Xenopus tropicalis: one gene and its partners. The protein of the gene in region 7 interacts with the protein of the main gene of each other region in a pairwise test. Links are inferred from orthologs where the notes say so. Each region holds a gene or a part of one and is shown on either strand. Other genes may lie near its edges.

Region 1 (4,701 bases), on a different chromosome or scaffold from region 7:
AGTATAGCAATATGACAGAGATGAGTAAGGGGGCAGAGAGTAGAGGATGTTTTGCTGTAATTATGAATTGGGAGGGTGCATAGGATATATACAGGGCATAAATAATATTAAATGCAATGGAGCAGCGCCAAGGGATAGCAGCGCAAAGCAGGTGCAAAGTGTTATATACAGGCAATGGCTCATGTAAGAAATAATACAATGTACGAATAATACAATATAAGCTTGTAATTATGGACAAAATGTTTGCCCCATGTTATGGTTGGTAAGCTGTTATATAAATGGAAAGTAACCATGGGGTCACAGAGTCACTTATCTTGGATAAAGCTGCACCATATAAAATGCCTGTGAGTTATAAATATTTGGTCACAATATGGGACAGTGTGTAGGCACCATCTTATATTTGTATCTTTGGCAGAGAGAAATGATATAGTGGGGTCACAGTGTCAGTAGCGCAGTACAGAATGGCAACACCTGGCAGTATATAAGCTGTAGGCATTTGGCATAATATGTGACTGTAAAAATATATTTATTGGATGAGAGGCAGGGCATAAGTAGTTATACAGAAAGCAAATGGGATCATAGTGTCAGTAGTGCAGTGTAGGATATAAATATGGCAAATTACTACTTATATATCTGATTATATTATGGGCCAGTCTGTAGGCCTCAGCCACCACTTTAAATCAGTGCTGCACAGGGTACAGGCAATTGTATAAAGTTAAAATAAACAAGCAGACATAGTGCTAGTAGTGCAGAACATACATATACATGCTGCAGGGCTGGGCACTGTACAATGGTCTGTAACTGGTGACAATTTGTGGTTACCATTTCATACTAGTGCAGAGAAATAAACCAGGGTCATAGGGACACTAGCACTTTGGCACAATGTGAGTAAATAGTGTTACTGGGTAGGGGAAGGGCAGTTAAATAAAATTAGTGTAAGGTATCAATCAGCAGTGCCTCCTAGGAAATGATTGGCACCATATACATTTTGCAATATCTGCCATTATATGGGGACATTGCCTGGGAAATACGGTGTATTCATATGAATAGAAACACAATTCCAGATACAGGGGGCATAAAATATCCACATCCAATATCCACCTAATTGGTGTCTGTTATTTTGCATATAGTCAGTGTAGGGAAAGGGGCCACTAACTATAAATATACTGTTTATAATCCGTACTGTACAAGCCAGACTGTACGCAGCCGCCATGCTATGGCAGCGAGAGGCACCGTTCTGCTAAATTGCGCACTGATTTGCGCACACGGCCAATTGCGCACAGCTGAATGAGAGACTGCTGCGCCCTCCCAAGCTGTTGCACCCAGACCCCCCTGTGCCAGATTGTCTTGTGGCTTCACTAAAAGGCACCAGAGCCTGCACAGAAATAGGTGTCACCCAAGTTTCAAATTGTTGGCTGAGGAGTGCGTTGTTGGTCGGATCTCAGGCGTGTCCCAGCCCTCATGCCCATAAAACAATGGCTCCCAGATATGAATGCTGACAGCTCCGTGCGGCCCCTCCGATTGATGAATAGCCCTCTGACGCTTTATCAGGCACACGGAGAAAGTTTGACCAATCATTTGCCAGGAGCTCACACGCCAGCAGCCCAAGTGCACCGAGTTGGCGAGCAAGTTGGGAGAGGGGAGAGCTCCTATATCTTGTTCCCTTCAATGAAGCTGCTGAGTAGGATGCCCGAGAATGGCCATTTCTGGGACTCTCAGTAATTATTTTGTGGAGTCAATAATAAGCCCTGAGAGTGAGGAGGCTCCAGCAGCCAAATTCTCTGGACAGTACCCCAGCCCCCGGCCAGCAGCCCATTCAGCTCACTCTGAGCCCTTGGACTTTCCCTCCTGTAGTTTCCAGCCCAAAGCTCCTGTATTCAGCGCGTCCTGGAGCCCTCTGAACCCCCACCCAGCCAGCCCCCTGCCTTCTGTCTACCACCCCTACATCCAGCAGGGCGCCCCCACTCCGGAGGGCAGGTACTTACGGGGCTGGCTGGAGCCGCTGCAAAGAGCAGAGAATGGACCTGGCCAAGGAACTGTGAAGTCTGAGCCGCTGCTGGGGCCCCCGGGGGAGCTGGACAAACTGGGAGCCCAACAGTACAATCTGGGCTCGCCTGCTGCAAGAGAAGATGCCAATGAAAGGGCCACTTTCCCGGACAATAAACTGTGTGAAGGAAGCGGGGACAAAGACAGGACACATCAAAGTAAGTTCTGCACCGAGGAAGTGGGAGACAAAAGCCTAAGGGGGCAATAAAAGGGCAATATACCGTCAGGAAGTGTATGTGCTCCTGGCCAGCAGGGCAAACACAGGGGAGAGCCCCCCAGGCACCGGCAATAGCCTGAAATCTTTCCACCTTGTAGTCACCCAGCCGCACAGGTAGTTAAACAAGCCACAGTATCCATCACAGTAGCCAGGAACATTTATATTTGTAATCAAATCCCTCCTCAATATTTATATCTCAAACAAAGTTCAGCCACAATATTTCCACCCTCAGCCACAATAACTTGGATCCAAATCAGCCATAATATTTGGAATTAGCCCCAAGATATACCCCCCAAGGCAACCCCTGTATTTACACCATATCCCCCCAATTAAACAGGCCACACGGTAAACTAACACTTTCCTTATATCGAATAAAACTCCCCCCAATTATATATATACATTTCAGCCAGAGCAGTGCGACTTTATTGCAATATTACTAGACTCAAATCAGCCCCAGTGTTTATACATTACCGACAAATCAGCCACAGGATTTATATTTTAAACCATAAGGCCCCATGTTATTGGCAGAGGTGAAATACTTATATTTATATCTACACGAAATATTCAGCTAGGAAAATCCTTGGCTAAATATTACAAATCCCCGACGATAATAACACGGATAACTTAGCAGCACAAGGAACCACAATCTGTAAAATATACAGGAGGGGGGAATATCCAGGCACAGTTAATATTTGTAGCAGAAACGTTCCCAGAATCTAAATTTTCTTACCAAATTACCCATAAGATCGGGGATTTACAACAAGCCTGCCCCAGCCATTATATTTCACAGCCTTACGAAAATATTATATTAATATCGCCGGCGATTTATATATTTAACCACTGGAAGAAGACGGGAAAAAAAGAGCTTCCAATATTTAATATACCGTATTAAAGGTACATAATTCATAATATATATGCCCTACAGCAAAGTATCTGGCAGGCAGCATAAAATAGTTTGTAAATGCAAAATGATCACCTCTTGTATTAGTGCAATTCCGCCGTGCGATCTGTTTGGACGATTGTACAGCCATTTATCTGGTCGGCACAGGTGAAAATGATTCATAAAGGCAACCGATCCCATTTGCAAAATCACCACTCTTACGAGGTGGATGTGTTTATGGCACCTAGTACCTTTTTATATTTCCCACTTAATATTAAGCAATTGCAGATGTAATGATCGGTTTAAAAGCATTTTACCTTGATAAATGAGGGTATTATGCATGGGAGTTAAACTGCACTTTAAAAACCATATTCCACTAAACTGGGCACGGATCCAGAACAAACTCCACAATAAAAGCCTTGGATGGAGAGAGTGGGATTTGCAGCTTGTGGATTTAATATCCGTGCAGGCTGACAAAACGCTGTGAAGAATTGCGCGTAAACGTTTACGCAACGGTCCAACCAAAGGAATTGGGGAGATCGCAGGCGATTTTAGCAAAGATTGTTGTGCTGAGGGTCAAAGGGAAAGGCCAGTGTACCCCCCAATGTGATATACTGCCTATTATTTCAGGGTGATTGATCAGAATCCAGCTTTAAAAAGTGCCTGTTTTATTTCCAGATAATAGTAATATGGAGCGGAATATCACTTCAGTAGTGAGAATTTTTTTTTATTATTATTATTTTATTATTATTATTAATACTAATAGGGATAAATAAATGATATTTTCTGGAATCCACCCCTCACACACTCATACACACAGGCAGCAATGCTGATCAGTAGTCGTGTTCGCTTTATTAAATATTAACTTTTTAATTCACTTTCATATTTCATTCCCATGCAAATGATTTAGAGACTGAGCAGAAAAAGAGACACCAGAGTTAACACAGGGGGGACTGAACCCTTACAATCCGCCAGGCAGGGCCAGACAGTCAGCCAGGAATATCATGTATATTTTATTACATTAATTTGTATGCGATCAGGGGCTGGAATCGTGTGTGTGGCTTGTAATTCCTACTCTACCATTTCCATCGGGGTTCAGGAACGGAGGCGATATTAAGGCTAATAATTATTGTCCTACTTGAAAAACTCTGCCTTTGTTAAGCTGCAATGGGACTGCTGTATGCACAGGACATAAAGCTTATTCCTATTAGCGGAGCTGAGCCATGCCATAAGCACATCCAGGGGCTTTTATGCTTTGCAAATTCTTCATTTCGTATGGAAATACCAGCCACAATATATTTCTGTTACTAATTAGTGTGTGTGTGTGTCCTTGTTACTTACACACACAGAGAAAGATATACACTGCTTATAAAATAATATAAATATTTAATATATAAATATAATATATATTTAATATAGTACCCACAATGTGGATATATAATATCTCTCTATCACACACACTCTGGATGTTTTATATACCACACACACACTGGATATATATATATATATATATATCCTATCACAAACACTGGATATATATCACATATCCCACCAACAA
Region 2 (4,832 bases), on a different chromosome or scaffold from region 7:
GGCTTCTCACCACTGTCTCCTTCTCCCTGACAATCACTCCCCTTTTATTGCGCCCTCCAACTGTGCCCAAGGCAAATTCCTCTGTTGCCTACTCCAAGTTCCGACCCTGAGCTGTTACTCCTCTTTACTGAAAAACGCATGGCCCAGCGTAATATTCTACTGAGAACTGTGCCGCCATCTTCTGTCTTGTCCCATTGTAGTTGCCTTGCTCTGAAGGAGGAGGAGTTAGTGTTCTGGATATTATGTTAGACATCTGCTCACTCCAGCCTTTATAGATGAAATCTTTGCCTAACTAACTATATTGATTTTTTATTTTATTTTGCACAGCCTATCTATTTACCCAGTATCATTTTTACACTAAACTGTTCCATGAATACAGTGATCGGCAATCAGTGGCTCGCGGGCAAGATGTTGCTCACCAACCCCTTGAATGTTGCTCTCAGTGCTCCCAAACCAGGTAGTTATTTTTGAATTCCTGACTTTGTGGTAAGTTTTTGTTGAATAAAAACAAGATTTACTACCAAATAAAGCCCCCTGTAAGCATGTGAAGCTGCCTAATAGCCAATCTTAGCCCTTATTTTGCACCTCCATGAACTTTTATGATGCTTGTGTTGCTCTCCAAGTCTTTTTACATTTGACTGTGGCTCACGAGTAAGAAAGATTGGGGACCCCAGCTTTAATACATTATTATTATTATTACTAACATTTATTTATAAAGCTCCAACATATTCCGCAGCGCTGTACAATAAGTGGGTTTTATACATTGGACATACAGAGTAACATATAAAGCAACCAATAACTGATACAAGAGGTGAAGAGAGTATGCATGGAGTTACATGGCCTATACACCTAAACACATTTACATATATTTATACAAGTTCATAAAAATAAAATATGAAAACAATAACTGAATATAAATAAATGTAATTTAAATTAAAATAACAAAATAAAAAGGTTATAATGTCACCTTGCTTAAGGACTATTTACATTTCTTATTTGACTCTATACCGATCATTATAAGTCATTTTTAAACATGAAATCTATGTTAATTTAACATAGTGATCTGATTAAAAATGCTCATTATCAGCCTAAACTTTACCAAAAATAAATAATAATTTTTAATCTAAACTAATCATTTTTAGAATTAAAATAGACAGATGTTTTTTTCCCTTTTTCAAATGATGAGCAAAATATCCCTTTATTGAGATCTATATTTGCCTGTTGATAGATTGACTTTTAAATGGCTGGGGTGGGGGAGAATGGTAATAAAAGTAATGATGTTGTTTTTCCCTCATTTCTGTCTTGCATCTGAGATACAAATACATAAGCCCTCAGGGACTTCAGAGCAGAGGAAAAACTAAATACAAAGCTTATGCACAGTAAGTGGCGACACTGAGTCCTCAGCCGAAAGATAGACATCATTCAAAACAAAAGAAAAGAAAGAAGGAAAGAATAGACACAGGGCAGACTTCTAATTAAAGCCACAAAGCCAGAAAGTGACAAAAAAGAAAGCAGGTACCCAGGGGTCGGGCTATACAGAAGGTTCAGTCTGGGAGAAAATCTCCATAACCTGCAAGGTACATCTGATCTGACATGCAACACACAAGTACAAATAGGCTTTCTGCTGAGAGAAAGTGTCATCATGAAAGAGGGGGAGGACCGAGCAGCCCTGTGCTGATCAGCTAAACAAGTCACGTCTTTTTTTCCTTGTGAATGTTTTGAGGGCAAAGATGGGAGAGAGGAGCACCATGCTCAGCCTAATCTGGGAACTAATGGCAGTTTGAGTGAAGATGGCGTATATACAGGTAGGTGCTACCTGCGCTTGCACAGGATTAAAATGCAGTGTAAATGTGTTCCATCAGCTTTTAGAACTTACACAGCCTGTGTCTCTGTGTGTGTGTGTGTGTGGTCAAGCCACCAGTAGAACGAAGATGGGAGGTGATGCTAGAAAGTGGATAAAAATACAATAAAAGGGGATAACATGTTTTTTTTATTAATGTGTGAAATTGAAATTTAAAGGAAAACCCCACTCCTATAAACAGGGCAGGTGAAACTAAAACTGCAGTCATGATTTATATCTATTTATACATTGTTCTGTATGTGCAACAGTTAATCTCACCCGACAGGTGCAACCAAGTTTTCTGCTGTGGGAAACTAGAAAAAAAAATACAATACATGATTAAAAAAATAAACAATTACATTGTAATTACATTTTATTGTTACTGAACTAGCTTTTTTTCTACTGTTAACCCTTTCAGGTTACAGTAGCTACAGACCTACAAGTAGTTAAGTTATTTGACATTTTAGCTATTCAATAAGCAAAGTTACTTGTTAAATATCATCATAGCTTAATGAATCTAAGATCTATGCAGCCAGCTGTGCTGAGTGTATCTTAAAAACATGACACACTTTGCTAATTACCCTGATGCAGGCTCAAGGCAAACCTTTTCTGCTTTACATCTAACGAAAGCTGCTTTAGTTTTGAGCTGGGTGGAGCGGAACATTTGATTGGAAGTCATGTTTTGATACCAAGTCAGTTTACATTGGAGGCAGAGAGACAGCTGAGGAAGGAGGGGTGAGATGTCCTTGTAAGCAGCAGATTTGCATTTGTCTCCATTATAACTGGATAAAGAATGATATACTTTTTATGGAGGACAACTGTTGGACATGAATATTGATCATGGAGATATTTTGATTTGGGAACCCTAAGCTGCAAGCTGCCTGTATATGAGGGTCCACATAAATATGAATATATGTTTATTTAGTGGCCTAAGGGAAGATGCCACCTTTGGGTACTGGACCACTGGACATGACCAATTGTATATCAGCACACCTTGGTATCTCCTGTACCTCTGGCCCATCATGTTGGCACCATGCAGAGATTGTTAAAGGAATACTGTCATGGGTAAACATGTGTTTTTCAAAACACATCAGTTAATAGAGCTTCTCCAGCAGAATCCTGCATTGAATCTGTTTTTCAAAAACACAGATTTTTTTTATATTTAATTTTGAAATTTCACATGGGGCTAGCCATATTCTTCATTTCCCAGGGTGCCACAGCCATGTGACCTGTTCTCTGATAAACTTCAATCACACTTTACTGCTAAGTTGCAAGTTGGAGTGATATCCCCCTTTTCCCAGCAGCCGATCAGCAGAACAATGGGAAGGTAGCAAGATAGCAGCTCCCAGTAGATATCAGAATAGCACCCAATAGTAAATCCAAGTCCAGCTTGGGACTCCTCCAGTTACATGGGAGTAGGAGAAACAATAGGTTACATGAAAGTGTAGTTTTGGCTCCTTCTGGGAGCTCAGAATCAGGCACAATGCACTAAGATGACTGCCTACACACCAATATTACAGCTACAAAATACATTTGTTGGTTCAAGAATAAAATTTTATATGGTAGAGTGAATTATTTGCTATGTAAACAGTGTAATTTAGTAATAAAAAGTATACCATAAAAAAACATGACAGTATCCCTTTAATTACTTGAATTATGCACTATGGTCAATTTCTGAATACAGTTAGCTTGCCTGTTATTTTTGGAGAAAGTGAGAAAACAGAATAAATGCAAACTCAGTGTAGATAGTGCCTAGCTTGTAAATGAACGTAGAACCCCAATGCTGAAACCTCTGAGCCACTGTGTTGCCTTTATTACATCCTACCTGCAAAGGAGTATTTTATCTAACTTTTAGCTTCATACAGACATCATTATTCCCTGACAATTTGCTGTTCATTTGTTTATGTGTGTGTGTGTTTTTTATGTTCCTTGTTTTTTTTTTGGCAACTCACAAGCTTGGAATTTCCAATGTTGTCTGGTTTTTAGAACTTATTACCCTTGCAACAAGGTATCATTTTGGAAGTCAGGATGGAAAGTCAAGTGGGTGGGCCTAAAAAGCAAGGTAATTAAAAATGAGAATAACTAATTAAACAGAAAAGGGCAGAATAGGAATGCTAATCTTTTAAACCATATTAAATAAATAATAGAGACCAACTGACTCTAGCTTAGAATAAATTGTCTGTAAATTATGATTGTACTGGTAGTTCCTTCATAAATATTGTATTACTAATTGTCATTTATCAGGGACCCAGTTTGCTTAGCTTATAACAGACATTTTCCAATGGATGCCATTGAAAAGTGCACATATTAAATAAGACCTGTAAGCCACAAGTGTTTCTATTTTGTGAATTTGAAGTTGTAGAGTCCTTTGCCTCTGCACTCAGAACAGGAAGTGATGTCATGCAGAGACATGTTGCTTCCTGTCCTGGAAAATAGTTGTTCCCCTATTGTTACACTATTGCTGCTTTGTGTAAGAAATATATTTTCCAATAAATCAGCAGAAGTTTGTTTTTTATGATTTTGAATACAACTGATATTTATGTTGGTGTAAATACTCCAAAAGCTTTAGTATTCCGATTTTTATTTAATTGGTAGCCCCAAATTATATACATTATTGTGCACTGTATTTTAGTCTTGTGTATAAGGTAAGCTGATCTTGCACAAATATTGTTAAACTGTATCTTCCATTACCCTTAATGGCCAGCCCACCCACCTAATATTAAGCTATGACTGCCAGCACCTCCTGACATCTTTTCACTGTTGTGGGAAACAACAGAGTCTCATTCTACAACACTCCCAAAAGACTCTTCTTCCAAAGCTTGTTGATCAGGGCAGGGGTGTAACTACAGAAGAGGCAGTGTCTGTCACTGCAGGGGCCCCTGTGGGACACTGATTGATAAGCAGCTTAATAAAAAAAGGTCTTCTCCTCACAGTTTGGGGGGGGGGGGGCTAAAATGATTCAGCAGTGGCATTCAGTAATTCATTTAGTGAG
Region 3 (4,700 bases), on a different chromosome or scaffold from region 7:
ACAAATTGTGTTTTTGTTGGCCATAACCTTGGCCAGAAGAGTGTCCAAACTCCAGGAACTATATATTTCAGAAGATTTGTTAATATTTTAGGAAGATAAATTTGCTTGTCCGCAGAATGATAAAGAAATCTGTTGGCACAACCTTGATGTCTTAAAGGAACAGTAACACCAAGAAATGAAAGTGTTCTAAAGTAATTGAAATATAATGTACTGTTGCCCTGCAATGGTAAAACTGGGGTGTTTGCTTCAGGAACACTACTATAGTTTATAAAAATACGCTGCTGTGTAGCCATGGGGGCAGCCATTCAAGCAGGAAAAAAGGAGAAAAGGCACAGGTTACATAGCAGATAACAGATAAGACACCATTGTATTCTACAGGGTTTATCTGTTAGCTGCTATATAACCTGTGCCTTTTCTTCTTTTGAATGGCTGCCCCCATGTCTACACAGCAGGGTTTATATAAACTCTAGTAATGTTTCTGAAGCAAACACACAACTTTTACCAGTGCAGGGCAGCAGTACATTATAGTTTAATTTCTTTAAAATATATACATTTTTGGTGTTACTGTTCCTTTAAGATGACTCTAAAGAGGGCAAAGAAGTTAAGAAAAACAAAATCTCTCTTCATATTACCAGTGCAGCTAAGCAAACACTGGCATGTATATTGTAAGATGTATCCAGTATGGCAGCATCATGGGCACTCAAAGGTTTAGCGTCACCAGAAAAGATTTTCAAAGCAGCAATTTGGAGGTGTCCTAATATTTTTGTGAAGCATTAAAAAATGTTTCTGCTTCTGCAGATTTTGAATAAAAAAGTAAAGTATTTTGCAGCATTTGGTATGTGTATGTTCCCTCCCAATTGTGCGGACTGCCATGAGAATGTGAACAGGAAAAGAGAAAATCTATATCCAATTTACTGTGATTTTCTTTTCCTGGAGCATTCCAATGCATTGTGGGTTATGTACAATGGTGGCATTTGGAGGATGCAGGCTGAAGGCAATCATACAGCAATAGGAAGTATGGTTGCTGCCTAGGCAAAAAAAGAAATCATGGCTATTGTTAATGTTATTTATAAGAAAGGAAGATAAACATAAGACAGATATATTTTGGTATAGTATATCAGTCTTCCTATATTCATAACTTTATACCCTATTAATAACATTGGCATCCAGCACATTTTTTTTTTTACCAGCAACGCTATTGGGGGTTCAAAATTATCATTAAAAAATTCTATTATTCCTTAACAAAGGCAAAAAAAAATCCTGAAAATAAGAGGCAGAATACATTTTCAACAGGTTATATTTACAGTGTTGATTTTTAAAAAAGGATATCTTTTAACTGTCTCCCTATTACCCATAGCATTCTTAGTGTGATACTGCACTGCAGTGTTGAATTCGTAGGATTCCGTTTTTCTATAATTAACAAAGCAGCAGTCATGCAAATAAGTAAGCGTAAACTTAGTTTACAAAAGATAAAAACAATCCAGAAGTTAACACGTATCTGCAAACATCAAAATGACGTTTCTTCTTTTTCTACTACTACATTAAAAATGACAAACACTTACCAAGTCACTCCCATGCTGGTACTTAATTGTACAAAACACAGCGACGTGTTATGACGTCACGGCGCTCAAAATTGTTGTCATTATTTGCGGTTCACGCAAGTCCCACATCGAGGCGTACGATGCCAGGGGAATAGGAGCATGCGCAGTGTGTGGATCTATGCACGTGTATGTCAGGAAAATGCCAAAGCACAAAAATTCTCGGGGAGCTGCTTCTCGCTTACTCCCCTTAGCTGATCAGATCGAACAGGAGGGAGAAATTAGACCCTCGTTCCGTAATAAGCGCAAGGGGAAACCTACAGACGACGCCGAAGATGATGGATACGTGGACGAGAAATTGTCCCGAAGGATTCTGGAGCAGGCCCGTATTCAGCAGGAGGAATTGGAGGCCGAATATAGTCTGGGGAATGTGACCCCTAAAGAGAGGACAACTGTTTTAGGTAAAAAAGGGTAAAGAAACATTTCCAAGGCAGAATACAAAACAAAAGTTTTTAAACCGGTATATAAAATCAGTGGGGAGTCTTTAGACTGAGTCATAACCAACAACTAGTGCTGTAGTTGTAAATACATAGAAACGAGTATGGGACAGTCTTAATAATCCATTAATGTAATCCATTTAGGGCCAGATTATATTGAAATTTTGCCATGCAAAAAAAGTCTACTGGGGGCCAAAGAAATGCTCAAATGCTCATTAGCTGGTTCAAATTGAACATTCCAGGTATATAATATGATACAGTCATACACATATAAGAATATTTGAAAAGTTGTACATAAATAATTTGCTAACTTCATTCTGTGATAAAATGAAGGATATCTAATGTGCTGTTTTATATGCTGATGCATCTCCATGCAAACACATGTGCAGTATGAAGCAAGGAGGGAAAGGAAGGGAGAATACCTTTTTAGAGATGGCTGCCTGTTCTAGAATATGTGAAGTAAGTGTGACTGAGTAAATATTTGATTAGGTGAGCCAAAAGTGTGGCATTTTTACTAAACAATAGGAGGACTATTGGGCAGTATGCTTTTTAAATTTTGACTTGCATTCTCCTTTAATGATTATACTCCACATAGCATATATACTTTAGTGTATATGTTATAAAAGACCGGAATCATGTGTGCAAAAATGGATTGTACACTGCACCTTCATCTTAATTTTTAAGATTTGATTTTATCAAAAATGTTTTTAGGACCCTTTTTAAATTAAAGGTACCATACAGGCAGTGCTGCTTTCTAGTTCTATTTAGCCATGACAAGGTACAGTATGCTCAGTTATACTAGCTGTAATTAGAACAAAAAGTGTGTAATATAGCCTAACATGCACTAAATGTATTCAGACTGTGACCCTTAACTCGCATTACAAATATTTCATGTTCTCTTGGGCCTACCCTGGGAATTGTTTGGAACCGGTGCTCCACAGAAACAGACCTTGTAGCATTCACTAAGTACAGTCTGAATTAACTTATTTACAAATTAGAGGTCATTATTTCTTCATATTTATCTTTGCTTGTATATTGGCAAATCAATCATTATCTTTTGTAAATCCTTGCCCTTCAGATTCCAAGAACAGAGCAGAGGGTTCAGACTCTGAAGATGATGAGTGGCCTTCATTGGAGAAGGCAGCCAGTCTGGAGAAAGGTACCCTCAACGAGGAGGTACAAATTAACCCTGAAGATGAAAAGGCAATGGAAATGTTTATGAATAAGAACCCTCCACTAAGGTAAAGTAGCAACTATCTGGAGACGCCAAGGGTTACATGGGTCAAATAAAGCCGGGCCAGAACTTGGGGTAGTCAGAAGGGAGCAACGATGTGGGGGTGTGACAGTTACCTCTTCTGCCTACCCCCTAGTACACACACTATTGCCCCAGCTGCTTTTCTCGCATCCTACCCGGGATGTCAGTGCACTTTCTCATGTACACACATGAGAGGTGGGGTGCAGGGTGGCCAATTGGGTTGCCTAGGGTGCCCGGTCGGCTTGGCCAGCCCCTGAATAAAATAATCATTAATAGAAATACTTTATAGCAAAGATTACGGAACTTTATCCATACACTATCATTTGTGAAATTTAACAGGTCTGGATATGTACATTTTAGTCAAAAGATGATTTTGAATAAAAACAAATTAGTGATGAGTGATTCATAACATTTTCAACCCTAACCTGCTGTTTTCCAACCCAGCTTCTACTATAACTTTTATGTGGTTCTTCTCCGATGACTCTTATATGGGTGGGACCAGTCACCACAGGAGATGGGTTAGAATTAATACATCACCTGGTTGCAGTTTTACCTGCCACCCTCTTAAACCCGCTTCTAGGGCTTGGTTCTCGTGGGTTTTGAGTCATCCCATTTATCCCTAGTGTGAATGAATGCTTAGTTTACCTATAGTTGCAACCAGTAGAGCAAAATGAAACTGAATTGCTGTCTCTGCTAATTTCTTTAGTATATGGCTTTACATAATGACAAACCCCTCCATTGTTTCTAATCCCTCTATCCCTCCTAAAAGGGGTGTAACCATGTATATTCACAGCCCAGTCACTTGTTTCATCTCACTAGGTCTCAGTGATACAAATTATATCCTAATTGTCAGTACATTCAATAGACTCCAGCTCTTCTAATTTCCCTGACAAGCTCTGTGCATTTGCCAGCATGCCGTGGAGGTTACTATTTTTCCCTCTAATATTTACATTACAGAACTAAGAGTTAGATCTGAGGTTACTATTAGGGGTTTTCCATGTAACAGAGGAATCTCCTTAGCTGGTAAAATGTATGTATCCTTGCTTATCCCACTGCCAGATCTACACTAGCTTTCCCATAACCCCCCCCCCCCTGCCTTTTTTAAACACTCCTCCAGCCTCTTAGCCATTTTTTTTCCCCAGCACAATGGACCCCCATTCCATTAAGGAGCAATCGGTCATGGCTGTATAGATTGTACCCCAAAGAAAAGTCAGCCCAGTGTTCTAGGAACCCAAACCCTACAGCCAAACATTTAGCTCCCAAAGCTCCCGCTGTTTCCCTAAACGTTGCACGTGGCACAGGCGAAGCTTCAGAAAAAATTACATTGGAGGACTTTTTTTTTTTTTAGAGCCTAGGTTCCTGAACTCACTCTTTAAGGTCCTCCACCTACCATTTATTTTGTCATTAGTA
Region 4 (4,220 bases), on a different chromosome or scaffold from region 7:
GATCCCCAACCAGTGGTTTATGAGCTCACCACCTCTTTGATGTTGCTCCTAGTGGCCTCAAAGTAGGTGCCATTTTTATATTTCTGGCTTGGAGGCAAGTTGTGGAAACACAGAGAAGTTCTACTCCAAGCAGAGCCTCCTGCAGCCCAGCAGTCCACATAGGGCTACCAAATAGCCAATCACAGCCCTTATTTGGCATCTCCCAAAGAACTTTTTTCAAGCTTGTGTGGCTCACCAACACTTTTAACATCTGAGTGTGGCTTATGAGTAAAAAAGGTTGGAGATCCCTGCCTTAAACTATGTATACAGACACACTCTTGTATACAGACCTCCATCCTCTTGTGTCTTTGAATCTTAACCTATTGCAACTGTATCTTGTATTTATTTGAATTTATTGTTATACTTTGTATTTATCTATTATTAGCTTAATAACCCCCTGTTTGTATTAATGTATTCTACTGTACAGCACTGCGTATATAAGTAGCGCTTTATAAATAAAGATATACATACATATACATACACTGTGGTCATTTAGTGTCATAACATCAAGCAAAGTAAAGAGCAATATCAGTAACAGTTCCACATAGTGACAATGGGCTGCAGTCTGAGTTCTTTAATATGGGCCAAAAATACACATTCTCAATGTGACTTCTAACAGAGAACTGGCAGGGAAGAAGAGCAGGATCAAGAGGGCTGTGTGCCGCCTAGAGGCATTCAACTAAGTCAGTGGCTTGTATGACATTAGTGGGCATATCACACACACATTCTATGTTCTGCATAACCTGGACAGTTCAGTAGACAGGACAGAGGGTGGCAGTGGTCAGGCTTCTTCAACTTCTGGCATATGTGATTGGGCAGTAGGTAAGGAATCTATGCACTCAGCAATAGCTAACTAATTAGTTAAAAGACTGCACTGTGTGTGCAGGTTTTAGTGAAGGAATATGGGATTTATGCCAACATGTAAATGAAGTGAGTGACTGTGCACAGGTATAATTTTGCACTTTTTAACAAAGAGGTTCCCACTGGTCCCCAGGTCTCTGAAAAATTCACATTTAGACCAGGCAATAGTTGCCTCCATAGATCAACCATATAAAGTGGCACCAATTGTGTCATTTGCAGCAATTACCTCTCTCCCTTTACACTTTGCATTTACTGTATAAAGCATTTTTTAATGAGATATACCCTTCTTATTTTTTAAAGAGGTCATGTGTCTATTTCCCCTGTTAATCTCAGTTATACAAAGACCCTGTCTATTTAAAAGCAGATTCACTTTAGAATTAGAAGCCAGTAGGGACCAGTTCCACAAAGGAGCAAAAAGCACTAGATAATGTTGTTCGGATTTATGTAGTTTACAATATGGTAAGGGACACACAGGTTTCCTCCTGCTCCTGATGGCTTTTGTTTGTCTTATATTTGTATATATTTCTATTCAATATGCAACACAGCATTAACATTCTATAGTTAAACAAACAATTCTTCTATTTCTTTTTCCCAGCTCTCCCGGTTATTGCATTAATAATACACTTACCCTAATACCTTCCTTCTGGTAACTTTGGGTAATACAGTCTGTGACCCCTTTATAATTAGTGGAATGAACACCATCTGCTTGAAGACGACTTTTTACTACATCCATGGGCGTTGCTGTGCCCCATGATAATGCCCCTAAGGTAAAAAATTAAAGAAAAAATGTTGTCATACTAACCATGATTTTTGCTTTTACTGGATAACCAAAGAATAGGTGATCAAACAGCCCCAGGCAGTATCTTCTGACTGCAATGTAGTTTATTTAGTATAGTGTAAGCATACAACATATATAAACATGTGGTGTGCTTGCACTGCTAAAATAAACTATGTTGCAGTCAAAACATACTGCCTGGGGCTATTTGATCTTCTATTCTTTGGTTATGTTAAAGGTACATATTATCTGCATTTATTCCTTTGCAAATGCAATGCCATAACTTGGGAATGCAATCTTATTTTACATCTTCATGTACTCACCGGGTTATTTCTTTCCCCTATCAGAAGGTCAGACCCCAAAGCTTTTAAAGCCCTAACCCCTTCCAGGGTCTTAAGGTGCCTGTACACTGGCCATTTTTCTATTGCATAGGTCCTCAACCTTTTTTACTTATGAGCCACGTAAAAAGTTTTGGTGAGCCACACAAGCAAAGTTCTTTGCAGATGCCAAATAAGGACTGCGATTGGCTATTTGGTAGCCCCACGGGGACTGCTGGGCTGCAGGAGGCTCTACTTGGAGTAAAACTGTGTCTCTGTGCTTCCAAAACTTGCCTCCAAGCCAGAAATGTAAAAATTGGCACCTACTTGAGGCCACTGGAAACAACATTAAAGGGGGTGGTGAGCAACATGTTGGGGATTTATGTTCTATAGTATATGACAAATCAGCCTGCAGGTACTGCACAAGTGACAATATACTGTATATGGCCACCTTCCAGCAATCCATTTTATGTGAGCTCTACCTTTTATCTATTTTAACAAAAAGAGCCAGTATGAAAGCGCTGTTTATTTCTCTGCAACTATTTAGTTGTTAAAATCCCAAGCCTGACAGTTGCACAATACAAATGTAAACCTGAAAATGCAAAATTAAAAATGAAGACCAATTTCAAATTGTCCTACTGTATCCATCATAAAATTAAAAACAATAAAACTGCCAACTACAAATTATCTTTTAAACAAATGTTTATGCTTTATGCATCTTTCAACATGGGCTTATCTGAAATGATTATGTTTTTACTATCACTAAAGACATACCTGCCAGCCCACCAGCTATCCAAACACAAAAGGAACTCGGTGCTCTGTGCTGGTCTGAAGTAATCCATTCACATAGAAACGTGTAAGGGATAAAGTATAAACAGTAGCCAGGAATGTCTCTAAGGAGCATAGCGCCAGCCCCCCGGTACATCCCTGCAATGCCTTCTTGCCTTAAGATACAACTCATACAATGTGCTGGGCCATTGTACACTGCATGCCATTTATGTGGCACTTGTGTCTGGTTTAGTGATCTTCTTCCTGTACATAGAAAGAATTATAAAGAACTTAAAAGAAGTTGTAAAGAAATATATTTCAGTCTCTATCTCTGTCATTACAATTGTCTGTATAACACAAAATTCTCCGTTATCATAGATTCATATTTAAATGACTATTGTTGGCTTTAAATGCTGAAAAGGTAAGATTTTTAAATAATAAACTAATTGCCCAGGTGACAAATATCTCGAAAATCGCCTTTACCCTGACATTCCTTTTCGGGGAGATTTTAAAAAAAGGTAAACATGGGTAGCCCCACTGGTGACATTTTTGAGACCTGTAGATACAATTCATATATTACATTTATGCTACTAGTCCAAAGTTTCTGTCCAACCTTCAATTCAACCCCATGAGTATAAACACATGTAGGTTTATTTATTTTGTAACCTTTTGTACAGGAAGCAGCAACAGCTGAAGACTTGGGCACCAAATATCAGATGTGGCTATTGGCATAAATACAGTAAATATGGTTGCAGCAACACCAACTAGGTAGGGTATTGTGGGGCACTTGCCTCTGTAAAAGCAGGCCAAAAGGAGTGGGAGAATGTAAGGTAAACAGGAAAAAATAAGCACATAGAGTAGGTGAGAAGGGCAACAAAAGAACTGAAAAAGGGAGAGAATGGGAGGTCAGAAGATGAATAGTGGAGAAGAAAGTTTGAAGAAGACAATAAAGTAGCAATAGAAGATGAGAAGCAAAATAATGGACAGAAGGAACTGGCAAAGAAAACTAAATAGGGAGCAAAAGGGAGAGAAAGGGTATGTCATGATAAATAGGGAAGGGTTAAAACTGGGTGGTGGGAAAAAGAAAAACCAGGAAGGAAGAGAGAGACAGAGCAATACAAAGAAGAGAAGAATTAAATTAATTATGGCAGGTGTAATGATATAAATAATGTATACTTTGAGTAAGTTGATATACCTTCCAATGTTCATGTATTTTATACAAACTATTTAGATGTAGGTGTCTCTAGTTTTATGTATTGATGTGAATATTCTGTATATGTGTGTGTTTATATATTTTACTGATGGGTGGATGTATGTGTGTATATTGTCCATTAAATATAATGACATGCTGGGACACAATGAGCCATCAGGGACACATATTTAGATATATTTGGCTCCATATAAATACAGCTATGCAATGTATGTTAACTCCCTTTTTTACGCATTGTAAATTTAGATTT
Region 5 (4,220 bases), on a different chromosome or scaffold from region 7:
CAGTAGGAGGAGGAACAAGATGTAGGAGACTCCATAGGAGGAGGAACAACATAGAGAAGAGTCAGTAGGGGGAGGAACAAGATGTAGGAGACTCCATAGGAGGAGGAACAACATAGAGAAGAGTCAGTAGGAGGAGGAACAAGATGTAGGAGACTCAGTAGGAGGAGGAACAACATAGAGAATAGTCAGTAGGGGGAGGAACAAGATGTAGGAGACTCAGTAGGAGGAAGAGCAACATAGAGAAGAGTCAGTAGGGGGAGGAACAAGATGTAGGAGACTCCGTAAGGAGGAGGAACAACATGGAGAAGAGTCAGTAGGGGGAGGAACAAGATGTAGGAGACTCCGTAAGGAGGAGGAACAACATGGAGAAGAGTCAGTAGGGGGAGGAACAAGATGTAGGAGACTCCGTAAGGAGGAGGAACAACATGGAAAGAGTCAGTAGGGGGAGGAACAAGATGTAGGAGACTCAGTAGGAGGAGGAACAACATAGAGAATAGTCAGTAGGGGGAGGAACAAGATGTAGGAGACTCCGTAAGGAGGAGGAACAACATAGAGAAGAGTCAGTAGGAGGAGGAACAAGATGTAGGAGACTCAGTAGGAGGAGGAACAACATAGAGAATAGTCAGTAGGGGGAGGAACAAGATGTAGGAGACTCCATAGGAGGAGGAACAACATAGAGAAGAGTCAGTAGGAGGAGGAACAAGATGTAGGAGACTCAGTAGGAGGAGGAACAACATAGAGAATAGTCAGTAGGGGGAGGAACAAGATGTAGGAGACTCAGTAGGAGGAAGAGCAACATAGAGAAGAGTCAGTAGGGGGAGGAACAAGATGTAGGAGACTCCGTAAGGAGGAGGAACAACATGGAGAAGAGTCAGTAGGGGGAGGAACAAGATGTAGGAGACTCCGTAAGGAGGAGGAACAACATGGAGAAGAGTCAGTAGGGGGAGGAACAAGATGTAGGAGACTCCGTAAGGAGGAGGAACAACATGGAAAGAGTCAGTAGGGGGAGGAACAAGATGTAGGAGACTCAGTAGGAGGAGGAACAACATAGAGAATAGTCAGTAGGGGGAGGAACAAGATGTAGGAGACTCCGTAAGGAGGAGGAACAACATGGAGAAGAGTCAGTAGGGGGAGGAACAAGATGTAGGAGACTCAGTAGGAGGAGGAACAACATAGAGAATAGTCAGTAGGGGGAGGAACAAGATGTAGGAGACTCCGTAAGGAGGAGGAACAACATAGAGAATAGTCAGTAGGGGGAGGAACAAGATGTAGGAGACTCCGTAAGGAGGAGGAACAAGATGGGGAAGAGTCAGTAGGAGGAGGAACAACATGGAGAAGAGTCAGTAGGGGGAGGAACAAGATGTAGGAGACTCCGTAAGGAGGAACAACATAGAGAAGAGTCAGTAGGGGGAGGAACAAGATGTAGGAGACGCAGTAGGAGGAGGAACAACATAGAGAATAGTCAGTAGGGGGAGGAACAAGATGTAGGAGACTCCGTAAGGAGGAGGAACAAGATGGGGAAGAGTCAGTAGGAGGAGGAACAACATGGAGAAGAGTCAGTAGGGGGAGGAACAAGATGTAGGAGACTCCGTAAGGAGGAACAACATAGAGAAGAGTCAGTAGGGGGAGGAACAAGATGTAGGAGACTCCGTAAGGAGGAACAACATAGAGAAGAGTCAGTAGGGGGAGGAACAAGATGTAGGAGACTCTGTAGGAGGAGGAACAACATAGAGAAGAGTCAGTAGGGGGAGGAACAAGATGTAGGAGACTCTGTAGGAGGAGGAACAAGATGGAGAAGAGTCAGTAGGGGGAGGAACAAGATGTAGGAGACTCTGTAGGAGGAGGAACAACATAGAGAAGAGTCAGTAGGGGGAGGAACAAGATGTAGGAGACTCTGTAGGAGGAGGAACAACATAGAGAAGAGTCAGTAGGGGGAGGAACAAGATGTAGGAGACTCTGTAGGAGGAGGAACAAGATGGAGAAGAGTCAGTAGGAGGAGGAACAACATGGAGAAGAGTCAGTAGGAGGAGGAACAACATGGAGAAGAGTCAGTAGGAGGAGGAACAATATGTAGGAGACTCAGTAGGAGTCATAGCCCCCATGATGGCATGGCCGTGCTGTCGAGGCCCCGCCTCATCTCCACCCCCATGACATCACCCCTGCCAGGCTTTCTGATCCGGCAGGGGTGACAACTCTACAACAAGGTAGGACTATTGTTGAAGCCCCTGTGTATTTGAGGGTAGAATTGGCACTGGGTGTTGGTTCTTGTCTGGAAGTGGTTTTAATGTATTAACCCAGGAGAAGGCCTCTGTATGTAGCATTGGTGGTAAAGTGCTGCATGTTATTCTGTATATAGGGGGGCAAAATCTAATTGGTGTCCTTCTGCCCCCAGGCCTCCAATCCTCTGTGGCAGTCACGAGGATCCAGCACTGTCTCCTCAGGGGGGCGATTTCGCTGCCCTTCATGCCGCCATGAGGTGGTGCTGGACAGACACGGGGTGTACGGGCTACAGAGGAACCTACTGGTGGAAAATATCATTGACATTTACAAACAGGAATCGAGCAGGTAAGTTCTGTGGGATTGGGACAGGGGCATTTATTGGTGCATAACGTACATAGGAAAGGGGCATTTACTGTGTAAGAAGGAGATTGGCTTACCTGGTAAATCCCTTCTGCGTAAGCCCATACTGTCAGTCTAGTTAAGCTCCTCTCTGGAGGCTGGACAACCCCTCAATGATCTTGCGAAGCTCCTCCTCTTCCTGTGTCTCCCTCTATCCTATCCAAAATCAGATGGAGAAGAGTTAAACACAACAAACCTGTCGAGTCAAAGTGTTTCGGGAAGGCCAGGTACCTACAGGTAGATAGTTACAGGTAGATACTACTCCTTGTGAGGCAACACCCCCGAGGGAAGGCTCAAGCCAAGGATAGACAGGGAAAGCCCCCCCCCCAGTCACCCTGAGGAGCGGGGCAACACCCCGAGGGAAGGCTCAAGCCAAGGATAGACAGGGAGAGCCCCCCCAGTCACCCTGAGGAGCGGGGCAACACCCCGAGGGAAGGCTCAAGCCAAGGATAGACAGGGAGAGCCCCCCCAGTCACCCTGAGGAGGCGGGGCAACACCCCAAGGGGAAGGCTCAAGCCAAGGATAGACAGGGAGAGCCCCCCAGTCACCCTGAGGAGCGAGGGCAACACCCCCGAGGGAAGGCTCAAGCAAGGATAGACAGGGAGAGCCCCCCCAGTCACCCTGAGGAGCGGGGCAACACCCCCGAGGGAAGGCTCAAGCCAAGGATAGACAGGGAGAGCCCCCCCAGTCACCCTGAGGAGTGGCGGCAACACCCCGAGGGAAGGCTCAAGCCAAGGATAGACAGGGAGAGCCCCCCCAGTCACCCTGAGGAGCGGGGCAACACCCGAGGGAAGGCTCAAGCCAAGGATAGACAGGAGAGCCCCCCCAGTCACCCTGAGGAGCGGGGCAACACCCCCGAGGGAAGGCTCAGCCAAGGATAGACAGGGAGAGCCCCCCCAGTCACCCTGAGGAGCGGGGCAACACCCCCGAGGGAAGGCTCAACCAAGGATAGACAGGGAGAGCCCCCCCAGTCACCCTGAGGAGCAGAGCAACACCCCGAGGGAAGGCTCAAGCCAAGGATAGACAGGGAGAGCCCCCCCCCAGTCACCCTGAGGAGCGGGGCAACACCCCGAGGGAAGGCTCAAGCCAAGGATAGACAGGGAGAGCCCCCCAGTCACCCTGAGGAGCAGAGCAACACCCCCGAGGAAGGCTCAAGCCAAGGATAGACAGGGAGAGCCCCCCCCCAGTCACCCTGAGGAGCGGGGCAACACCCCGAGGGAAGGCTCAAGCCAAGGATAGACAGGGAGAGCCCCCCAGTCACCCTGAGGAGCGGGGCAACACCCCCGAGGGAAGGCTCAAGCCAAGGATAGACAGGGAGAGCCCCCCCCCCAGTCACCCTGAGGAGCGGGGCAACACCCCCGAGGAAGCTCAAGCCAAGGATAGACAGGGAGAGCCCCCCAGTCACCCTGAGGAGCGGGGCAACACCCCGAGGGAAGGCTCAAGCCAAGGATAGACAGGGAGAGCCCCCCCAGTCACCCTGAGGAGCGGGGCAACACCCCGAGGAAGGCTCAAGCCAAGGATAGACAGGGAGAGCCCCCCCAGTCACCCTGAGGAGCGGGGCAACACCCCCGAGGGAAGGCTCAAGCCAAGGATAGACAGGG
Region 6 (4,220 bases), on a different chromosome or scaffold from region 7:
TATTAAGGGTTGTCCTTCTTGTTAGGAGAAACCTTAGATAACTTTTATCACGTCTTTCCTAACCAGAACATCAGCCCAGCCCTCTTTCTTCACTACATCACAGTAAGAAAGTGCTGTTATAACAAAATGTATTCATATTAAAAATAATTTATCCGTCTTTGAATAAAAAACAACAAAAAACAATAATGAATGTAATTACAAAAGTGCTTAGAATAGCACTCTCATCAATTTACATTCAATTTTTAAAGGTTAACTTATCCTTTAAGACTCCAGCAGACTGCAAAGCACAAAAGAGACACAGCTATATTACGTTCTTGTAAAGTAAACTAGAGCAATGTGTAATGCAAGGGAATACCTGCACATAAAGGTTGACCTCCGCACTTCTGCACAGATATGGAAAATTCCCCCCAGTTTTCAGATGAGCCCTGCGGGCATTGGGATACAGTTTGTACATTTCTTCCTTGGCATCTGTGGAAAGTGCACTCTGATCAAACACCTGCCAAGATAAAGGTTTCATTCAGTCAAAACACATATAGAAAAATGGTTGGCCTGTGCAGTTACACTGAGCAAATTTTGGACATGAAAATGCATGCTTTCGAGTTTTTCTGGCCAAAATCTGTACACAGAGCTGTGCCATGTTGTCTGTAAATGTTTCCTATAATAAGCTTTTGCTTATTAAAACCCTTTAGACCCCTTTCCTGTCAGCTACTTCCGATCTCGCCAGACAGCCGTCACGTCCTTGAAAGATTTTAATTTTAACTGGGAGTCTCTAGTTTTATAAATGCTTGATGCACTTTCAAACCTTTAGGAGCTACTTAGTAGCATCTACTTGTCACCAGAGAATACCCTGCCATAGACAATACTGAGAATTGCCTCTGCTAAAACACACGTAGAGACAGATATCAGTACATGATAAGCAAAGTCTATTTTAGTAGCCGTGACAAGTAGCTGCTACTAGTAGCTCTGGGTGTCTTCACCCTTATTTGGCGTTACTTCCAATGTATTGCACTTTTCATGCATGTTTTTATCATAGATGATAGCATTTATACCAACATAATTTAAGAGCATGTCTAACATTCCCTGATCACTGCAGAACTATTAAATCATTGTATTTTCACTACTAAATTGGTTGCAAATGATCATTATATAACTGAGACTGTTAAATCTTTAAATACCCGTCACTCTGGAAGTTCAAAGGTTAATAGTAAGGCTGCAGCATCCCCTTAATCACCTGGGTCCCTTCTCCTCTTGTAACCCCCTGCCTTAGGAACGGACTTTGGCTTGCTGAGCATGCTCAGTTCTTCTCAATTCTGGGGCCAATGAAGAGATGGCACTGCTGGTTTCCTTAGAGTCTGCTCTAGCTGTGCTCTCTGCTAAAGAGACATGGTTTTTTTCCTCCTAACCTCCACTCAGTTTAACCGTTACAGGGCTCAATTCAAGCAGGACTTTTAATCAAAGTAAGCTCTGCCTGTGTAAGCCTGCATTGTTCATTGCATGAACTTTACAGGGCACATGTGCTGTTTGCAAATGTTAATGCCACTGAAGATGTGTGAGATGGAGAATGGCCGCCGGGTCAAAGCAACTTTTTGTCTGGGATATATGCAATACAAATAGTGTGGGTTGGGTGGGGGAGATGTGCCTAACTTATATACACACATAACAAGTAAATGCTTTCTTTTTTTTTTTTTTTTACACACATAACAAGTAAATGCTTCCTGCTGATTAGTTGCTATGGGTTACTGCACCTGGGCAAAGTTAGTGTCTTCTGTTACATAATGCTATTTGTGTTTTTAAATGACCGTCTATTTTTAACCTTTTCTTTTGATTACAAATTGTAAATTGGAGCTAGCCCCACATTGTGTATCACCCAACTAAACCTGAAAACACAGAATCCAGTCACTTTATGGAAAGTCAGATCCTTAGCAGCAGGCCCAGACTGGCAATCAGGAAACTCTTGCAAATGCAGAAGGGCTGATGTAAGCTGCCATAGACCAGTGCTTTTTATTGGGGGGCTTTTAAGTAACTTGAAATGCCAGGGCCTATTTTGAATGTCGGCAGCCTGTACCATAAATTCTACTTTTTATTACCGGTATCTGTACCCCTCTTTAAAAAACACCATAACCTGATGAGACAAATAATATGCAAATAAACGTCAGAACAGCAAAATAAAAGGCACGTCTGCAATAAATAGTCAACTAAAAAAAAAAGCCTTACATCCATGATGGTAACTGCAGTGTCACGGATCTTATGAGGTTCTACATAAGCGTTCTGGCAGTTGAGGGTCAGTCGAGAGGCCAGCTCACTTTGATTTAGGCTTTCAAGCTTTAAGCACAAAAAATGACAGTCAGTTGCATAACACATCTGTGTTAAGTTCCCAAAAATGGTTTCACATAAAACTCCCACTCTGAGGCAAGAAATGTTCCTGGGCAGATCACCTCTTAGAGCCCAACTGCATCACTCAATAAAGAGAACTGTACAAAGAAGGCCTCTATAGGCCTTAAGATATGGGACCAGTTATCAGGAAACCCGTTATCCAAATTATGGAAAGGCCATCTCCAATAGACTCAAATAATTCACATTTTTAAAAATTATTTCATTTTTCTCTGTAATAATCAGACAGAGTACCTTATAATTGATCCTAAAATATTATTAATCCTTTTATGGAGCCAAAACAATCCCATTGGGTTTCATTACTGTTTAAATATTTTTTTAGCAGGTGGAGAACAAAATTACAGAAAGACCCCTTTATGCGGAAAACCCCAGGTCCTGAGCATTCTGGATAACAAGTCTCATACCTGTATTATTATTAACAACATAGTACTAGAGTTTACACATTTATAGAGAGTAAAAGGAAAATTATAGGAAACTTATTGCCCCTAATTTAAAAAATAAATGTTTTTATTTGTACAAAAAATTGTACTTGTGAGAAAGCAACTAGACACTCTTTGGTATTCCATAGTAGTTTGTACCCTTTAATTTCAGAGACTGCATTATCCAATTTACATCTATTCCCCACAAGCCAAGTAATAAGCTGTAGATAGAATACTGGTATAAGATAAAGCCTCTCTGCATTAGCCATGCTTCTTTATAGTAAACCCAGGCAAAGCTGTTTTTCTGTGCCAGTATTATATCTATATACCCATAGACAGCTGGCTGTATATTATTATGCATGTTTGGTTTCCAGCTCATAAATGAAATGTTTGTTTAGGAAACAGATGCATCATTCTTTCTTACCCGGTCTACCATGAAATCAATGGCATCTGCCATTACTGGATCCACTGGGCCAGAGGAGAAGTTCCCTAACAGTATCTTCTTGAGCATGAAAGCTGGCATCAACCAGAAGCTGAAAAGAGAAATATCTTAGTTGTCAGAAAATAAGGACACAACTAAGAAAATAATTCCACCACCCACGCCACATCCACAGTTCAAAAGTAGGTATTCTGAGGCAATAAACACCTACATACATCATAACCACATTGATCTTTCTGTACTGCACATTATGCCACATTCCACACATTGTACTTTCTAATTAAAACAGCCCAGTGAAATTAACAAGTGAGAAATCTCCAATCAGTTTACCAGTCCTGATCAACCCTAGTGCCCCTGGCTGAACACTCAGAAAAAACAGCTCAGAAGGAGAAATAGCAAGTATCGAGCGCCTGTAAATTAATAAGCGCTTAATGTAGCTTGTAATCTCATACCCAGGGGTACTGGTGCTAATGCTAATGAGCCCAGATGTAAACCAAATTAGACTTTCCAGTTAATCCAACTTTTGGCTGTGTTTTCTACCCACCACTTATCCCCCATCACTGTCCTCACTAAAAATGCATTATCCACTACAAGTTATACAAAAAAAGTCAACCTCCATTTTATAATTGTATAGGTTTCCTTCTGGCAGCTACTGACACTAAAAATATTCTTATGCAGGGATAGGATGATGCCTTTGGTTGTGTAAGGGTTACTGTTTTATGCAGAATTGAAACACAAAGCAGTAAAGTGATAAATGCACTACCTATTTGCTGTCCAAGTCTGGTTAAAAATGGAGGTATCGCTGAATGAATTACAGAGTATAAGGGACTGGACTCGGGGAGATTTGTGAGTGTACTCGGCAAACTTCTGCGCTAGGAATCCCCCAAGAGATGCTCCAAATAGATGAACCTGCAAGCAACAGATAAAACAAGTGAGCAGATATGAGCATGCACTTGCCTGGCATTAGTGGG
Region 7 (4,826 bases):
CATGGACTGAGATGATCTAATAAAGTGTCTTTTAATGGAAAAAGATTTTTGAGTGCTAGCCATAAAATGTACGTGGTGGTAAGCGACTGCCGCCACATTCCCCATTAAATATTTACTTGCATGGAAGTGCTGATTTCAAGTCACACCTAATTCAGTGGTTCACAGTGGAGCCCCATTGGCTCCTATAATGTGTTTGTGCTCATTTAACAGCATTGTGTCCCCACAGTTGTATCTCTCTAGCTCTTAGAAATACAGTGCTCCATGCAGAAAGCAGTGTCAGGAGATGCAGCCCAGCCCTTTAGGCAGGCGTTAAGTACGGCGTCCCAAAGCAAGCTGCAGCTTCTTCCACTTATGTAATGTGCTTGTGCAAGATAGGGAGCGGGAGGGGAGGAAGCCTACATGCCCAATGCAGGTCGCACTTAATCCAAACAGCAGTCCACAGAGGCCAGTGGCTACACAATGACCAACGCAGTTGATAAAGTGCAAAAAAATGCCAGATTGTGAATGACCCCTATATTGTAGGTGCACTTGTGTCACAGTAACACTTCCACCTTAGGCTAAGCACAGGTCCTTTCTAGAACATTTCTACATGATGGAAGACCTTAAATGAACTAGGAAGGTGGCTGAAAAGTCTGGCATTTTGCAACAAAGATTGTTTGCAACCGTAAGGGGAGAAATTTGCCTTAAAATGAACTTTTACTATGATTCAGACCATGCATTATAAGACAATTTGCAACTGGCCCTCTGAATTATCTACATCTTCTGTTGTGCATCTGTTTTAAACAGTTATCTGGTTGCTAGAGCTTATTTACCTAGCAACCAGGCAGCAGATGGGAAGAAATAAAAAAAAATTAAGACCAACTGGGACATTGCTTATAATAGGTCTCTCTCTAACATAGTAAAGGTTTATTTAAAGGTCAGCTTGTATGGAAATAATATAAATAATACCTGGAAGAAATACAGTGTAATTTTTTTTTTTTTTTTTTGCTTTCTGCTTGCCATTATATAAGAAAATACACAGAGCTACTTTCTGATCTTGAATTAAAAGAAGAGTGAAGAAGTCTTTGTACTGAACAAACTACAGATATATTTGTTCCCTGGGGCTAGATTTCCCATCCAAGTCCTTTGCTGAATGAGCCATGTTGAAGTTGGTCCTTGGGGATGAAGAAGTCTCATTTACTGGCAACCCTTAAGCCCAGAAACATAGGGAGACTCCTGAGGTCTGGATATAGTTTCTTGCGGCTGAGACATAAAGGAGTCCATAAAATCCGGAGCAGGGAGTCCTGAGAGTATCAACACAGACTTGTTCCATATAGTGAAGGTTGGGCACACAGGGAGAATAAAGGAGATGGGGAAGGTGTGCAGGTGGAGGGAGTTGGCTGGATCATAGAAGGAAAGTGTATTATTATCATAGTCTAGGAGAACACCTAAACGTTTCAACTGAGGATTCACATCCAGAAGAGCTTCTTTGTTATTGTGTCTTACAAGAAAATTATTGTTGCATCGAGTGAAGACCCACGAGGAGGTATTCTTCCCAACCCACTCATTCCTTGGAGCGGATTTATAGGCGATTCCTATTGCATACCTGGAGGGGGAGAAAAACAAATGTAAAAAGGCGAAACCAGAACATATATGCTCCTTGCTGCAGTCTTTATATTTGAGTCATTTTACTTGAAACAATTGATGGAGGGGTATTCCCTTAATACAAATGTAGTGTATAATTACAAAATCATTTTTAAACATATTAAAACATATAATATAGTACAGGTGTGGGGCCTGTTATCCAGAATGCTTGGGACCTGGAGTTTTCCGGATAAGGGATTATTCTGTAATTTGGATCTCCATAACTTAAGTCTGCTAAAATTCATTTAAATATTGAATAAACCCAACAGGATTGTTTTGCCTCCAGTCCAAGGTACTGTTTTATTATTAGAATTATTTGCTTATAGTGGAGTCCATCGGAGATGGCCTTTCTGTGTTTTGGAACTTTCTGGATAACGGGTTTCTGGATAAGGGATCTGATACCTGTACATACCAAACACAGTGTCCCAAAAAAAAAATAAGCACTCAAGGCAGATATGTTGGTGTGTGGGAGAATACCCACGAGCAATTTTACTTGCCCAGTGTAAACACATGACAATAAGGACTCTTGTATTTCAATGCAAACAGAGTTCCTCAACAAAGGTGCAAATAAGGTGACACTATAAGATCCAGGAAGCTAAAATGTCTATTACAAGTGCTATGAAAAGACAATTTACATATACCACATAGGCCCACCAGTATACAAGAAAAACTCAGCCCTTCACTCACCATTTGGCCTTGTATGCTGTATATCATGATCAGTTCAGATTACGGTATGAGAACAAAACAGGGGAAAAAAACTTAAGGGAAGGACAGATGATCCTCTTGGGGTAATTTATTAAGTGCAGGGCAGGGTGCACACAATAACCCATGTTTTTTGCAGTTTGTGCCCTGTTCTGAAACTTAAAAAATTGTAATAGGTCTCTGCACACAAAAACGGAGCACAAAGACCTGTATCTCCACCTGTGAACAGACTGCTGCCTTCATGATGGGCGGGTGTAGGCAAGTAGGCGTCCTGCCACACAGTTACACAAGGCTGCCCAGTGTCCAACACCAACGCAATCTGCACTTAGTGATAGATTTCCAATCCAGCGCTAGGGTTGCCACCTGCCCATTATTTTACCAGCCTAGCCAGGAAAAAATGATTCTTCATTCCAATGTTATTAACAGGGAAAAAGCATACAAATATAGGAAAGCTGGTAGTTTTTTCAAGAAAAGGTGGCAACCCTATCCGGCATGGGGTGCAGAGTGCAGCCAGACCCGGACGCAAGTGCATTATAGTACACTATGGGGCAGATTTACTAATCCACGAACGGATCGAAAGCATCCGAACGCGTTTTTTTATAATGATCAGTATTTTTGCGACTTTTTTTCGTCGCCGTTGCGAAAAAAAATGGATTGGTTTTTCCATCGTTTACTATCGCTCAATACAAAAAAATCCCAACAGCGACAAAAAAGTCACGCAAAATACGGTAAACTAGGAGAATAAAGAAGGCAAAAAAAGACAGGAGGAGCATTATTTTGAAAAATGAGCCCTTGCACGACATTGTAAAAAAGCGATATATAATAAACAAGAGCCATAATTATATATCCTTAAAACTGTGCTTGGTAATGTCATCAGTTATATCTGTGCTTAGTGATGTAATTTATTTATATATATATATATTTTACAACATTTTCCAGGTTGTCATAACAAGCAGAATAATAACCGAATGCATTGTGCATCCCTCTTTGACCGATATGTCAACCCTTCCTCCTTTGAAATCATTGCGTTAATCTAATTATGAGAGGAAAAAGCAAATCAATTCACTGTTTATTTGACGAGAAGAGATTTGTCTTAAGTGTCATTTAATGGTAGCAGAAAGTAAACGTTTTGCCTCTGCGTATCTGTGCCGAGACCCTGACTAATGCACAACAATGTTAAAAATGCATTAACCGCACACTGTCACTTGCATGGGATTCTGGGTAATATGTCCGCACAAATCAAGGATTTTGCTGGTGGCTTTTTATTCTATTAACTCTGCACAACACATTTTTTCTGCTGCAACCTGAACATTACCAACACCTCTGCAGAAAGGAGTGGGGTAATTTTACGCTTAGGAAGCCTGAAGTGCTATGTACCTTATTAAAAATGAATGTTTGAGGACTGCACGCTGCATGTTAAACAGAATCAGCGTGAGATTTTAAAGCCGAGCCGACAGCATCATTGTAATAGGAGTTGTCAGGAACCAACTGACCACATAGTGCAGGACCCGGGGGGGAGAGGGAGAGTGCAGGATTCACACAGGGCCATTAAAAGTTATAATAACTTGCTCAGACGTGCATTCAGTGATTTAACGTGCAGCGGCGTAATTTGATGTTATTGAGCCCCAAAGCAAATTCTTTATAGGGCCACCCCCACCTCAGAAACCATAGGCATGAAATCAGCTGCAATTCCTTTAGTGAGGACCCTGTCTCTGTTATTTATACCCCTGGGCACCTGCGTACGTTGGAACCTTTCCTATTTTACCTTTCTTCCCTATTAAATGGGATTGGCATCAACTATTAAACACTTTGCTGGATGGGGGAAACCCTACCCCTGGGCAACCTGCTCCTGCTACACTGCACTGATAATACAGAGAGTAGCAAGGAGCAGGTTGCACCCAGCTTAGATATGGCAGCGGGCGGCCTCTTATACCTAAATACATAACTAAGGGTACATTTGCAGCTCCCCAGAATACTGCGGCAGCTATCAGCCTTCATTGGGTTGGCTTTGAAGTAAATGGATCACAGGGCTCATCGGCAGCTGAGAAGCTGACCTAGCGTAAAGGCAAATAAATAGATGCAGGCATGGGGCCACTAATGCACAAACAGCCATAACTAGAAGACTGGAGATGGGCTGACCCATGGGTTCCCAATCTAATAAATGACTATACAGAGCTCTTACAGGGGAATGATTATTGTCCATTTATTTTTTTCGAGTAATGTATGAAGAAAAAGCCTACAGACCCTTCCCTCTCAGTAAAACTGAATTAATGCATAAGGATGCCATATATTTTTTATAGAATGAAGCAGAGAAACTCAAGCTGTTCATGGTGATTATCACTGTTGCCATTAAGGTCTACAGTCAGTTCTGAGTCATTATAAGCCATATGTCAAGGAGCAATCTGCCCATCACGCCGCTATGCTATACCCTTATACTATAATCTATTTACTGAATGAACAGCATACATCTGAAATCCTACATTGTAACTGGTACTTTATCC

The links.
Region 1: the proteins of mid2 (region 7) and hoxb9 interact in binary tests that used the Homo sapiens proteins (3 or more experiments, as listed by UniProt). The two-hybrid records come from large-scale screens. The link is inferred for Xenopus tropicalis from reciprocal best matches to the Homo sapiens genes MID2 and HOXB9.
Region 2: the proteins of mid2 (region 7) and syt17 interact in binary tests that used the Homo sapiens proteins (3 or more experiments, as listed by UniProt). The two-hybrid records come from large-scale screens. The link is inferred for Xenopus tropicalis from reciprocal best matches to the Homo sapiens genes MID2 and SYT17.
Region 3: the proteins of mid2 (region 7) and bysl interact in binary tests that used the Homo sapiens proteins (3 or more experiments, as listed by UniProt). The two-hybrid records come from large-scale screens. The link is inferred for Xenopus tropicalis from reciprocal best matches to the Homo sapiens genes MID2 and BYSL.
Region 4: the proteins of mid2 (region 7) and slc25a48 interact in binary tests that used the Homo sapiens proteins (3 or more experiments, as listed by UniProt). The two-hybrid records come from large-scale screens. The link is inferred for Xenopus tropicalis from reciprocal best matches to the Homo sapiens genes MID2 and SLC25A48.
Region 5: the proteins of mid2 (region 7) and trim54 interact in binary tests that used the Homo sapiens proteins (3 or more experiments, as listed by UniProt). The two-hybrid records come from large-scale screens. The link is inferred for Xenopus tropicalis from reciprocal best matches to the Homo sapiens genes MID2 and TRIM54.
Region 6: the proteins of mid2 (region 7) and spg21 interact in binary tests that used the Homo sapiens proteins (3 or more experiments, as listed by UniProt). The two-hybrid records come from large-scale screens. The link is inferred for Xenopus tropicalis from reciprocal best matches to the Homo sapiens genes MID2 and SPG21.

Annotation. Positions count from the first base shown.
Region 1 is NC_030686.2:12,098,065-12,102,765, reverse strand, and holds the start of hoxb9 (homeobox protein Hox-B9), read left to right. Parts: upstream 1-1,586; 5' UTR 1,587-1,696; coding exon 1,697-2,204; intron 2,205-4,701. UniProt on the Homo sapiens protein: Sequence-specific transcription factor which is part of a developmental regulatory system that provides cells with specific positional identities on the anterior-posterior axis.
Region 2 is NC_030685.2:32,728,850-32,733,681, reverse strand, and holds the start of syt17 (synaptotagmin-17), read left to right. Parts: upstream 1-1,732; 5' UTR 1,733-1,790; coding exon 1,791-1,805; intron 1,806-4,832. UniProt on the Homo sapiens protein: Plays a role in dendrite formation by melanocytes.
Region 3 is NC_030678.2:70,761,107-70,765,806, reverse strand, and holds the start of bysl (bystin), read left to right. Parts: upstream 1-1,722; 5' UTR 1,723-1,740; coding exon 1,741-1,999; intron 2,000-3,113; coding exon 3,114-3,276; intron 3,277-4,700. Other genes in the region: med20 (mediator of RNA polymerase II transcription subunit 20), read right to left, coding at 1,563-1,576. UniProt on the Homo sapiens protein: Required for processing of 20S pre-rRNA precursor and biogenesis of 40S ribosomal subunits. May be required for trophinin-dependent regulation of cell adhesion during implantation of human embryos.
Region 4 is NC_030679.2:25,197,901-25,202,120, forward strand, and holds part of slc25a48 (solute carrier family 25 member 48), read right to left. Parts: intron 3,025-4,220; coding exon 2,767-3,024; intron 1,663-2,766; coding exon 1,529-1,662; intron 1-1,528.
Region 5 is NC_030681.2:162,394,516-162,398,735, reverse strand, and holds part of trim54 (tripartite motif-containing protein 54), read left to right. Parts: intron 1-2,392; coding exon 2,393-2,565; intron 2,566-4,220. UniProt on the Homo sapiens protein: May bind and stabilize microtubules during myotubes formation.
Region 6 is NC_030679.2:116,209,872-116,214,091, forward strand, and holds part of spg21 (maspardin), read right to left. Parts: intron 4,159-4,220; coding exon 4,013-4,158; intron 3,344-4,012; coding exon 3,235-3,343; intron 2,323-3,234; coding exon 2,215-2,322; intron 497-2,214; coding exon 356-496; intron 1-355. UniProt on the Homo sapiens protein: May play a role as a negative regulatory factor in CD4-dependent T-cell activation.
Region 7 is NC_030684.2:40,259,128-40,263,953, forward strand, and holds the end of mid2 (probable E3 ubiquitin-protein ligase MID2), read right to left. Parts: intron 1,586-4,826; coding exon 1,177-1,585; 3' UTR 874-1,176; downstream 1-873. UniProt on the Homo sapiens protein: E3 ubiquitin ligase that plays a role in microtubule stabilization. Mediates the 'Lys-48'-linked polyubiquitination of LRRK2 to drive its localization to microtubules and its proteasomal degradation in neurons.